Linked DNA regions of Saccharomyces cerevisiae S288C. Changing the gene in region 1 together with any one later gene gives a genetic interaction. Each region holds a gene or a part of one and is shown on either strand. Other genes may lie near its edges.

Region 1 (2,893 bases):
ATTAACGCTAACAATCCCATTGCGAATAATACGTTAACAACAAATTGTTGTAAATTTTTAACGTACCCAATAAACCACCAGTCAAGTAGACAGATCGTTGAGCCAGCAATAATAACTGTTTTGAAATCCTTAAAATTGAAGAAAAAAGAGGAATCTGTAAACAGTTCCCTATGAAATTTATTCAAGAAAACTCCACAATACAATATTCTCAACACCATGTTAATGATGTTACTCAATATCAAGCCTTCGATTGATAGTTTGAGTTTTTCAATAAGAAGCCAGGAATTGAGCAGGAAAATACCAGAAAAGGCCATCATAAAATATGAATGTTTCAAAATTTGGTCACCAGTGGCTACACTCTGGAAAAAAGCTTCAAAAATACCATTAAGCGATAAAAATGGGATGTAAAAGCAGTAGACTCTTATAGTGTCCAAAACGGAAGTAGTGGACCATTTCGAGCCAATCAAGAACTGCAATAAAAAGGATGAATTGGCAGGCCCAAATACAATGATCATTAACGATAAGTATATGTAAAACCTTGTTAAATTCACCAGGACTTCAATAGATAGTTTTAAATTTTTAGGGTTATGCGAGGATAATAAACGGGCCAAAAATAACCGCAGAGATTCTTCGATCGGCGCAAATAATAATCTTGTTAGTAGCGATCCATAGTTCGACAATAGAGCGTAAATGCCTTGTTCTTCCACAGTACATAAAGAATTGATAATCAACTTATCACCCTCTGTCAACAAATGCTTAAAACATAGTTGAAAATAAACTTTTTTGAAGTGCTGTAAAATGTCGTTTTGGAAAAAATAAGATGTGCTCTTTGGGTAGCCTTTCTTCAATTCGTTATTTTCACGCGTTTTTATCTTCGTTAGCCTGGTACTGAACAATTTCTTTGGTTTGAAATTCTTGAGATAGTCCCAGTAGTAACATGCTAGCAGGGTGATCGAATGTGCTAACTTTCCCAAGGCAAATGCCAATATGGCGATGCCTTCTTTGTCAATGTCCGATGTGACAACCCCCATTGGGTAGCGGGATTGCTGAACGGCATAAACAACTATAAAATTGACAATACATCCTGTAGTCACCGCGATGCTTTCAAATCTTGACCTTGCGGCATAGTTCAACATAAACTGGTTGACGATGAAGAATGGCTCGCTTAACAGCTCCACGATGATACTCAGCCAGATAAGAAAAATCGACCACCTGAAGAATGGAAGAGTGATGAAATACGCGTTGATGTTTCTGTACTGCCAGGCGATAAGACCAATGGACAGTGGAAACCCGATCCAAAACGGAATGTAAGCAAAATTGACTGCGGTTTGCAAAACTTTAGACTTGTAATGAGTTTCCTGGTACTCCTCCTCGTCGTCATCATCGATTATTCCATTACCGGAGTCTGAGATTCTCAACGTCGACAGACGAATCGCATCTCTGCTAAAAAATAACACTGTGCCCTGTATAAATTCTAGAAAGGCCGTGATACCGAAAATTCTGGGCGACAGAAACCTGATCAACAAATTATTTAGTATGAACGTTACCAGTTTGGTGAAAAGTTGGCCCATCATGAGGAAGGTAGCTCCTGTTGTGGACCTTTCCAAGATCTGCTCACTAGTAGAGGGCAATTGTGAGTTTTTTTTCGCCATTTTTTCTTTTCCTTCACTGACAAAAGCAGAATCAACTTCAAATCACCCTATCTGTGGCCCTTTACTGCTACTAATACGCATTGTCTTCTCCAGGCTGCGATTACTGCAAACCTTCTGCCAAAATATAGCACAATAGAAGTACCATATTACGTTCGATGCCACGACAATATCGCGCTACGTGCGTTTTTTGGTCCGCTCTTTCAGACTAAGTAAAAAAAGAGCTGCGAATAGTAGCTTTCCGCCAATCAAACTCAAGAGCAGGACTAAGCTAGATAGTAACACAAGTGGCACAAACCTCTCGAGAATATGAATACCAACGAGTCCGAACATGTTAGCACAAGCCCAGAGGATACTCAGGAGAACGGTGGAAACGCTAGCTCCAGCGGCAGTTTGCAGCAAATTTCCACGCTAAGAGAGCAGGACAGATGGCTACCCATCAACAATGTAGCGCGACTCATGAAGAATACTCTCCCACCGAGTGCTAAGGTATCGAAAGATGCGAAAGAGTGCATGCAGGAGTGTGTCAGTGAGCTCATTTCTTTTGTGACTAGCGAGGCCAGCGATCGATGCGCTGCTGACAAAAGAAAGACGATAAACGGGGAAGACATTCTCATATCATTGCACGCCTTAGGATTCGAGAACTATGCAGAGGTGTTGAAAATCTACTTGGCTAAATACAGGCAACAACAGGCGCTGAAGAATCAACTAATGTATGAGCAGGACGACGAAGAGGTGCCTTGAGAAGACAAAACCAGGTGGTAGATCGCAAAAGTTGCTAGCTGTCAGGATGGAATAGCACGGGGCTATTTCCTGCTGGTCGTTGGTTCTCGTGTAATTAATGAATGTAACGATATAGATAATATTTTATTGTTAGTGTGTAATGTATTCAATGTAATGTATGGGTGCTTTGTAAAGGGTGTATGATGTTTGCCACCGGAAGGAAATAAGTCAGACGAAGTCTTTTAGCCATGCTTTTGCATTGGTATTGCAGCAACGACAAGCTGATACGGTTACTAGGACACCTAAAACCTGATAATACAGTGTGCATTTGCAGCTGTTTCAAAGTTTAGTTGTTTTTTCTTTTGGTTTTCGAGGTGCTTGAACGAAAAGATTTGCAAATAGAGCATGCTAAGAACAAGAACCACAAAGACCCTTAGCACAGTGGCGAGGACCACAAGAGCTATCCAATATTACCGATCTATCGCTAAGACTGCTGCAGTTTCTCAAAGAAGGTTCGCATC
Region 2 (5,649 bases), on another chromosome or scaffold:
TTTTTAGGGGCCTTATCATGTAGGAAGGCATCTATGTTAACAGTGACCATCGTTGCCTTATCGTCCTCGTGTCCCGTCTTCGAGGTGCGTTCCCTAGGTTCTCGCCGCTGTTTTGTAGACTTACCGAAGTTTGGTTTCTTGCCATTGGGCAAACTCTGCGTCGGTGGAACTAATATTTGAGTTTTAGTGGGGCGCATGTGCTCCTTGGCGGAAGGAGGACTTTCCCTTGTGACAATCTTGACTTTTGCAGAATGTTTTGTCTCGGAACCCATTATGAGAGATATTTAATTTTGACTATTATAAAAACGTTTGTGTTTGAGTTTCTGTTAGTGTATAACTTTGTATGTAGTGACGTTATTGTCCGGTCTATCAGGAAGGTAATAGGGCACGGGAGGCCGTTGTTTTATAAGTACGGGCATAAGCCGCAAGAAAAAGAAACGTTAAGAACAAAGAAGAAAAAAAGGGGCGCTGATAATCTTTTCACGCAGTAACTGTCGTACCGCGCGATTAGAGCAGTCCATCAAGGAAATCCTGATCGGTCTCTAGTTCTTCCGGTAGATCGGTCGAAGGGGCACTGATCTTCTTGCCCGCACGATCATGATCACCTTGTACGTGAATGGGAACGACTAATGATTCGGGCTCAGCCGCTGTTATAGCCGATGTTGTATTCTGCCGTCCGAGCCAACGATTGAGCTCATCCGTATTCATCTGCTTGAGGTCTTTGATTTTCAAAGTATCTTTATTAGCAACATTATTGACGGCTGTGGCGTCGTCGTTCTGCTGGAGCCGATTTTTGAGGACGTCTTTTAGCACCTTGTTCAACTCTGCATTGGCGACTGCAGAATGCGGGTCCTCGAGTACCGGGTCCTCATAGTACCTGTCCTCGTTTGACTTCAGGGCGGGCTGTTCTTGGTCTTGATCTTTCTCCTCTGTGGTAGCTTTCTCTTCTTTTTGGCGGTTCAATAGCCGGTACTTTCTATCACTGGGTGTGGCATGTTTTCTTTTCAATTTCTGTTTATCTTGAAATTTTTTTCGATTATCCTTCTTTAAGCTGAATGCATCCATTGCGTTTTCAATTGTCTTGTTTTTTTTTTTGTTTTGCTCGTTTTAAGTAGAATAACGTTATTAGTTGTAGCATGTGCTCATCTCCATGAGGTTTCTCCTAATCACTTCCTTTCTTCTCCTTCACCCATACACCCGCCAGCTTTCTTCAATCCGGGTATCGGTTAAATGCAGAGTGCCTAAATGGGCTGCAGATTGACCACTTTGGGTTTTAAGCTTTTCTCCTGATCGCTTTATCCGGACATATTCTCTTAAACCGTTCTTCTACCCGTTTGGTAATACTTCATAAACACAATATGATATTGCTGAGAACGCATTTACGACTGCAAATCTACTATTGAAAACAATTTTAAACATCTGGTCCAATCCAAGGTTTAATAACTATCATTACTTGAGGTGCAACCGCTTTCTTGTACCTTAAATCTTAGCTGGTTATTTTCCTTTTTTTTTTTTTAGTTCCTTTAAGCCTATTTATTACCTTGCGTTTTCGCACAAACCAACTGTTTTTGCCCAAAAGGATCTGCATCACAAGACGCACACGCATAACTGGAATATTTCATCATGCGGTCTTTCATAAAAGCCCATAAGAAGTCCACGTCGTTTGATGAAAGCCCCAAGCGACATAGCAACTTCAGTGGCAATACTAATAATAGTTCTCAAAGGTCAAGTGATGACTCCTTAGACTTTCTACCATCTACACCATCACAAATGAATTACGATAGCATTCCACCACCCGCGAAACACTCACCTGGATTTGAGTCTTTCCATCGTTTGGCTAACAAGACTTCAAAGTTGTTCAAGAAAACTTCAAACTCAAACTTAAACTCGCATTTAGCTTCAACTCCAACCACAAGCACAAATCAGACTACTTCAAATTCATTTGTTCTCCAAAATCCACCCACAAAAAATACTGGACCTCCGCCGCCATTACCACCGCCGCTCTTTCCTTCCTCTTCTACCTCTTCCTTTTCACGTCATGACAATGAAAGTGAATATACTGCATATAAAAAAACTTCTCCTGCAAAAGATTTTAATAGAACCACAGACTCTCTGCCTGCTATTAAGGGCACAATTACTCATTCGTGGGGAGATTCCAAGGTCGAATCGCACGTAATAATATTAAACGATCCTGCTTCCCCAGCATCAAACACATCTGAAGCGACTTCTTCTAAACAATTCAAAACCCCTATCATTGGCAATGAAAATCTAACTTCAACTACATCACCATCTAACCTGGAACCTGCCATAAGAATATTGAACAAGAACAAGGGTAAACAGCAGGAAAATATCGACGATGCTGAGGACGGGTCATCTAAGAAGGAACATCATGTTTATAAAGCATTAGCGCTTGCCAAAAATAGAAACAGACAAGCAAGAATTCATTCTCATGATGATATAATAAATTTGGGAAAGGCTTCTCAAATGGATATGAGTCTACTAGCCGCTGCGTTTTCCGGAAATTCAACCACCACCATTAATAATGACCAATCTTCTAATGAACAAACCGATGAGAAAATATTAGACATCGAAAGAGTGACCACTACTTCCACTTTAACCTCTTCCGAAACCACATCACCAATAAACAAGTCACCTTGTTTTTATAGTCAAACACTTTCCCTCTCACCAAAGATACGACACGGCGACTTACAATCATCACCTTCAAAAGTGAACAAAAACGATAGTCAAAACGAGACCTTGAACAAGAAAAAAGTAAGGATTAGTCTTAATAGAAAAGAAGAAGAAAAGGTGTATTCCCTCAACAACAATTCCGATGAATACTCTGTCAATGAAAAAGAAACCCATAAAGCCAACGATTGTAATGACGAATCTTCTGAAAACGGTGATGGCGATAATGATCATGATGATGATTATGATGACGATGATGATGACGATGATGATGATGATGAGTCGGAATTTTCGTTTGAATATGCCGGCATAAACGTAAGGACATCATCTGTAAAGTATTACTCCAAACCGGAACCGGCGGCAAATGTATACATAGACGATCTATATGAGGATGAGAACTTTGATGACGATATGAATTGTATAGAAGATGATGAGAGTGGTAATGAGGGAAACGAAATATGCGGTTTATCGACTCGATTCGAAGAAACATCCTTGAAAAGCAATAAAGTCAAAAAGTTCAATGATCTTTTTAACTTGAGCGATGATGATGAGGAGGAGGATGGTAAAGATAACAGTAACAATGGAGATGAAAATGAGAGTGATAATCTTTATCAAAAACGATTAGAAAACGGGAAAGAAACTTTTAATGGTAACCATGGCGGACACCATGATGATGCATCTCTTGGAGAAACGGTTGACAACAAAGAGCAGTTTCTAATAAACGATAATGTCAAGAAGCCTATTCAAAAATACAATGACCTTTTCGATTTGTCTGATGAGGACGATAACGACGACAAAGAGATGTCAGAAGCTGAGTCTTATATGTTTTCCGATGAAGCTCCTAGTATAGAAAGTGGACCAGCAAATGCAAAATCAACACGGGGGATCTATAGTCAATCTAACAAAAATATCATACGTGATGGAAAGCCGAACTATAGTTTCTCTCTCAAAAGGAATAATTCGGATGATGAAACGGAGCACACTTCTGCAATAAAGGCTTCCCTTACAGGTACTACTGGCTCTACCAAGCCTACAGTAAAGTCGTTTTCAGATATATTTAATGTTGATGATAGTGCAAGTGACGCTGAAAGTGATTCTGGGACAGGAGGGAACAATTCTAACGGCTTAGTATCCAATGATTCAGAAAGGCAGGTCTCCCTGCAAAGTTCTTTGTATGAAACCAAATCAGAATCCCATCCTCCCAATCATCCTCATTCGCAGATTCTTCAAACACCGGCTAAGATTGTAATAACTCCAAGCGTTTCTGATGCGCAATCACAAGCCCTTGCAATCACCGATGATGATGGTGAAGATGATGATGATGACACTAGTAGCATACTAAGAACTCCGTTTCAACTTATTGATTCCTCTCATTCACAGCAGCCGCACTATGCGAGCCCACAGTATACGGCTGTACTCAATAGCCCCCCTCTTCCGCCGCCAGCTAGGTCTCAATCACTAAAATATCATGACTTAAATTGCGATTTAGATTCAGAAGTCCCCAGACCAATGAGTAATCTCTTTTTCATTGATGAAGCTGAGGAAGACGAATACAATCAGAAAAGTAAGTTTTTTGATTTCGACCACTACGACATCGATGAAATTAATGGCATTCCAGAGGATTTTAACTTCTCTGATTCTGAAAGAGATGATCTTAATCGTCGTACACTGAAATCTCCTTTACGGGGCGGCTCCAAGAATAGAGAAGTCTCTCCTTTTTCATCTGTGTCATCGTCTTTCAGAAGTACGCATAGTTTTAATGGGAAATTAACGATCAACCAAGGGGCTAAAGAATTAGCTCCGATGAAAAATAAGATTGAACTTACAAACAAGACTGTCACCTTCTTTAACAGTAATAATTGGAATACTTATGACTGCAATTCACTCTCCCGAAAAACTTCATCCCAAATGAGAGATAGTAAATATCAAAATCATAATGTTGGTCAAAACGTAGAACCTTCAAGTGTTCTTTCGCCACAACATCAAATATCGAATGGTTTAGATGGAAAATGCAATGATAACTACGTAATCTCACCAAATTTACCGACAACTATCACACCAACTAATTCATTTACTAAACCCACACCGGAGTTCTCAAATGACTACTCATTAAGCCCTATTCAGGAGACACCATCTTCTGTTCAAAGCTCGCCAAAGAGAGCGTGAGAAAATACTGCATGTTTTTTATGCCCGTAGCCTCCACATTTCTTCCCTAGTAGGTGACTAGCTTTAAAACCTTTGCGTAATGTTCGTATTTGTAATCAATTGCATGTGCCAAGGATGATCTTTGGTAGATATAAAAGTACATATTATTAATTTGTTTTACAGAATTGGCATGTCTGAATATAGTTTTTTTAAGAAAGTACAAAAACTAGAAGTTTTTCTTACATGTAAGAGATATGAAATTTTGTAATGTCCGATGAAAAAATAAAATAGGCAATAAGCAAATTGCCATTCCGATAAATCTTCATGCGATGAGCTGGTCAAATCTGTTTACCAGAACAATTTGTAGGGTTGTTTTTTTTTTTTTTATTTTAGTTTGCGATGAGATGGAATGTCGTTATGAATACTGGACTGATACTTGTTCGGGATCAAAGAATTCCCTTTTTCATCATACAGTGGAAAAGGCAACGGCGGAAGTACTCTTGATTTTTTTGGCTTTGTTTGTTGTCCTTTTTCTGAGAATTTATGCTTCTCATTTACCAGTTGATAAATAATTCTTTTTGCATCATCTGCAGTTTTATCACACATGCCCAAAATTTCGTTGCAATGGCTTAGACGTTTCTTCTGTTGCTCATTTTTAGCTTTTTGAGCATGGCAGACTCTTGTTCGTGATATATCGTTATTTTTGAGGCCTACATCTTCATCCTCATCTAAAAGAATAACCTCAACCATTTTACCATCTCTTTTTTCGTAAATGGTATTAAAATCCAAATCGTGTCTATTTGAAGGAGTATTCTT
Region 3 (4,811 bases), on another chromosome or scaffold:
AGATAAATGGCAATCCTTGGATCAAAGCATTAAGGACAAATACATACAAGAGTACAAAAAAGCTATCCAAGAATATAATGCTCGCTACCCTCTCAACTAGACCGCGGTACTCTCACAATGTTTTTTATGCCTTTATTCTTTCCGTTCCTATCCAAACAAATAAATAAATTTAACTTAACCAAGCAAGTGTGTAGTGTTTTTATATCCTATGTAAGTCTTCAAACTTTTTTTTTATCTCTGGTAACCTTTATTCGCATACAACGCCAATGAAACAAACCTGTAATAATTTTTCATAGTTAACCCATTGATGATACTTATTAAAATATGTAATCAAATCGTCACTATTACGGTGCTTTATTAAGATGTCCGTACCACCTGGATGGAACTTCAAATAACTAGAAATGTCATAGACTTTGCCGTTTATAACGCACCATAACTCGTCCTCACCTTTACAATGCTTCTTTACGATTTTTCTGTTTATTCTTAAGGGTGGCATTATTTTATAAAGGGGTATCTTTTGGACAAGCAATTGGTTCTTCAGTTGTGAAGGTGAAAACTTGAAGTTATCTTTTTGAAATACCGGATCATCGAGTAAATCCTGGATAAGCTGTAGCGAAACGAATTTTGTATAATAATTCGCTGGATTGGAGGTTAGAGAGTGCCAGTCCAGAGCACTGTGCCCAGGATCTAGTCTTATTTTGGTTCTTACAAGAGGCTTTCTTGACGACTTCGACATGGGCATATGCAGCGGGGATGATATGGCAGGATGAGCAACGCTTAGTCGCTGAGGAGCAGCGAATCTGACATTTGGTTTCGAGTTTGAAACATCTCTGTTCATGCCGTCACTACTCATATCTCTATGAGTGTAATCTAAGCACCTGCTAATATGTTATATTCTGCTTATTCGTCCTTTTGCTACACATAATTAATGTAACTTTAACTCTAGTTCTATAAAGGATATGATTTGTACTAAATGTAACATTATACGAAAAAACATATTATTCGTTTATATAAACTAATCAAAGAAGTCGTCATCATCTTCGTCGTCATCATTTTTAGCATTCTGCTTGTCAAATGAATTCAGATCTTCGCTGAAATCTTTCCGTTCGAAGATAATCTTACTGTTATTTTGTGAATTTTGTTGCTTGGCGATACCATTCAAGATTGAAACAATTTCAGCTTCAGTGATTTTATGAGTGACGTTGTTTGTAGCAATCAGTTTCTTTAAGTATGTCTCTACTGCTTGGGCCCTGTCTCTACGGACCAAGGCCACTCGAGATAATCTTTCTAAAGCTTGTGGCTCCAAGAAATTTGCAATAGCTGCACCAACGGGAGCGGAATTTTCACCTCCACCATTATTAGCACCGCTATTTCTATCGCCGTTGGTACCCCCACTGTTGTTTTTCAACTGAGCCAATCTGGCTTCCCTAATAGCTTGTAACTCTGGGTCCATATCTGAGCACACACTTCCTCCTGAATTGTAATCCAGAGAGCAAGAAGATTTTTCAACTTTTACTCTTGGTTCTCCTTGTAGAACCACAAGTGGTATAAAAATTCTCGCTTACCCAGCCCAAAAATTCTCATCTGTTTCTCATCTGTTTCTCGTCCGAATAAGTTTCCCGTTCGCAGCTAGGATTTCACCTGCTCACCATAATAGGCAACTTTCTTCCTCATGTAGGAAATTATACTATTGCTCTCTGTTGCAAGGTTATTTTTGAGCCTTAATACCATATTAGTAGATATAAATACATATATATCGTGTTAACCCATAAGTGGTAGTTTTAGTAGCTCGCTGCAAGATCTGCCTCATTCCTTTGTAGAGAACGACGTACCCACTACGCGTTTGAACATTTGCAACAAGCACGAGAGGAAGGAAGAAGAATACCAAGTATAAACGAGAATAATCACCATAGAAAAACCTATAAAAGACACTTCCATTACCATCTGCTAATAATAATACAATGGACACCAGCAAGAAAGATACTACTAGGTCGCCCTCACATTCCAACAGTTCTTCTCCTTCATCTTCTTCTCTCTCTTCATCTTCTTCCAAAGAGAAAAAACGTCCTAAGAGACTATCCTCCCAGAATGTAAATTACGATTTGAAAAGGAGAAAGATCATCACTTCTGAAGGTATAGAAAGATCATTCAAGAACGAGCATAGCAATCTTGCAGTTGAAGACAATATCCCGGAAGAAGAACCCAAGGAACTTCTTGAAAAGGACTCCAAGGGTAATATCATCAAACTTAATGAGCCATCCACCATCTCGGAAGATTCGAAGGTATCTGTCACTGGATTGCCGTTAAATAAAGGTCCTTCTGAGAAAATCAAGCGAGAGTCTCTTTGGAATTATAGAAAAAATTTGGGAGGCCAATCGAACAACTCAGAAATGACGCTGGTCCCCAGTAAAAGATTTACTCAGGTGCCGAAAAATTTTCAGGATTTGAACAGAAATGATTTGAAAACGTTTTTAACTGAGAACATGACTGAAGAGAGCAATATACGGTCAACTATTGGTTGGAATGGCGATATAATAAACAGAACTCGTGACCGTGAACCTGAAAGCGACCGCGATAATAAAAAGCTATCAAATATTAGAACCAAAATAATACTTTCAACGAATGCTACCTATGATTCAAAAAGTAAACTATTTGGCCAAAATTCCATCAAGTCAACATCGAATGCGAGTGAAAAAATTTTCAGGGACAAGAACAATTCAACCATAGATTTTGAGAATGAAGATTTTTGTTCGGCTTGTAATCAGTCAGGTTCTTTTTTATGCTGTGATACATGCCCCAAATCCTTTCACTTTCTTTGCTTAGACCCACCAATTGATCCGAACAACCTGCCTAAAGGTGATTGGCATTGTAATGAATGTAAGTTTAAAATCTTCATAAATAACTCAATGGCAACTTTAAAAAAAATTGAATCCAACTTCATTAAGCAAAATAACAACGTCAAGATTTTTGCTAAATTACTTTTCAATATCGATTCCCACAACCCAAAACAGTTCCAGCTACCAAATTATATAAAAGAAACCTTTCCTGCTGTGAAAACGGGTTCGAGAGGACAATACTCTGATGAGAATGATAAGATTCCATTAACTGATAGACAATTGTTTAACACTTCTTATGGCCAAAGCATAACTAAATTGGACTCTTACAACCCGGATACACATATAGATTCAAATTCAGGTAAGTTTTTAATTTGTTACAAATGCAATCAAACCAGACTAGGTTCATGGTCTCATCCAGAAAATTCAAGATTAATAATGACTTGTGATTATTGTCAGACTCCATGGCATTTGGATTGTGTACCGAGGGCTTCTTTCAAGAACTTAGGTTCAAAATGGAAATGTCCTCTACATTCCCCAACTAAAGTTTACAAAAAGATACACCATTGTCAAGAAGATAATAGCGTAAATTATAAGGTGTGGAAAAAACAACGATTGATAAACAAGAAAAACCAACTTTATTATGAACCTTTACAAAAAATAGGCTACCAAAATAACGGGAACATTCAAATCATACCAACAACTAGTCATACAGATTATGATTTCAATCAAGATTTCAAAATTACACAAATAGATGAAAATTCCATTAAATATGATTTTTTTGATAAAATTTACAAATCAAAAATGGTTCAAAAAAGAAAACTCTTTCAATTTCAAGAAAGTTTAATAGATAAGTTAGTATCAAATGGATCCCAAAATGGCAATAGCGAGGATAATATGGTCAAAGACATAGCCTCTTTAATATATTTCCAAGTTAGCAACAACGACAAGAGTAGTAACAATAAATCGGCTTCCAAAAGCAATAACTTAAGAAAATTATGGGATTTGAAAGAACTGACTAACGTAGTCGTGCCGAACGAACTAGATTCTATACAATTCAATGACTTTTCCAGCGATGAAATAAAGCATCTGTTATATTTAAAGAAGATTATCGAATCCAAACCAAAGGAAGAACTGTTAAAATTTTTAAACATAGAAAATCCCGAAAACCAATCCGAATAGAAACGGCGTACATACATAAAGAATAAATCAGGAACGTGAACACCTTCCTTACATATATACACACATACATAGGCATATGTATCGCATCTTAAAGTGAGAGATCTACCTATTTTCCTTTTTTTTCCATTTACAACATAGCAATTGATGTTTTTTTCCCTTCTAAGTCATCTCGATGTCATCATCTTCATCGTCTTTGTAGTCAACTTCTTTCCTGACCCTCAATTTCTTCATCACAATATTTTCGTGCCCTTTCTTGGTTTCATTTTTGTTAGACGGTGAATAACTGTCATCATCACTGTCTGATTCTCGATCCCCATCACCTTCTTCGTCGTCAGCCTGTGATCTCGCATGATGAACTTTCTTCTTTTTTTTTTGTGATTCATTGTTTTCGTGAGCTAATAACCTCTTTTGAAGCCTTTGTCTTTGAGTTTGTGACGTGTGAAGAATCCGTCCGATTTTAGCTTTTATATTGTTTTGTATTTTTTCAGTCAAGCTCTCTGGTATGTATGTTTTGAAAGATAACTGGGCCTCCTGAACCGTTGCAAAAGGTTTGAACAAATCTGATGGTAAGTTTAATTTACCTGGATATGCTGAATGTTGCCAATTTTTCTTCTCTTTTAAATTCAATAGAATCATTTGCGACAGCTCACCTATGATATACATTTTCTGACCGTAAGGTCTATGCTTCTTTGGCGCTTCTTCTTTTTGTGGTCCTTCTTCTTCATCAATTTCATCCTCAACTAACTTATCTTGATAGTTTTTTACCCTTTCTGATAAATAATAGAGCAAACTGAA

The links. A genetic interaction does not mean that the proteins touch.
Region 2: mutations in HAP3 (region 1) and ZRG8 together harm fitness more than expected from each alone (negative genetic interaction), as found in Saccharomyces cerevisiae (2 studies listed by BioGRID).
Region 3: mutations in HAP3 (region 1) and RCO1 together harm fitness more than expected from each alone (negative genetic interaction), as found in Saccharomyces cerevisiae (4 studies listed by BioGRID).

Annotation. Positions count from the first base shown.
Region 1 is NC_001134.8:181,160-184,052, reverse strand, and holds HAP3 (Hap3p), read left to right. Parts: upstream 1-1,958; coding exon 1,959-2,393; downstream 2,394-2,893. Other genes in the region: RFT1 (glycolipid translocation protein), read right to left, coding at 1-1,652; ATP-dependent Lon protease PIM1, read left to right, coding at 2,778-2,893. UniProt on the Saccharomyces cerevisiae protein: Acts a component of the CCAT-binding factor, which is a transcriptional activator and binds to the upstream activation site (UAS2) of the CYC1 gene and other genes involved in mitochondrial electron transport and activates their expression.
Region 2 is NC_001137.3:217,262-222,910, reverse strand, and holds ZRG8 (Zrg8p), read left to right. Parts: upstream 1-1,623; coding exon 1,624-4,854; downstream 4,855-5,649. Other genes in the region: EDC2 (Edc2p), read right to left, coding at 1-272; YER034W (uncharacterized protein), read right to left, coding at 508-1,065; FIR1 (Fir1p), read right to left, coding at 5,218-5,649. UniProt on the Saccharomyces cerevisiae protein: Involved in the integrity functions of RAM, a conserved signaling network that regulates maintenance of polarized growth and daughter-cell-specific transcription.
Region 3 is NC_001145.3:412,021-416,831, forward strand, and holds RCO1 (Rco1p), read left to right. Parts: upstream 1-1,961; coding exon 1,962-4,016; downstream 4,017-4,811. Other genes in the region: DNA-binding protein ABF2, read left to right, coding at 1-100; IRC21 (Irc21p), read right to left, coding at 248-853; SDD2 (Sdd2p), read right to left, coding at 1,016-1,453; YMR075C-A (uncharacterized protein), read right to left, coding at 3,668-4,033; sister chromatid cohesion factor PDS5, read right to left, coding at 4,176-4,811. UniProt on the Saccharomyces cerevisiae protein: Catalytic component of the RPD3C(S) histone deacetylase complex responsible for the deacetylation of lysine residues on the N-terminal part of the core histones (H2A, H2B, H3 and H4).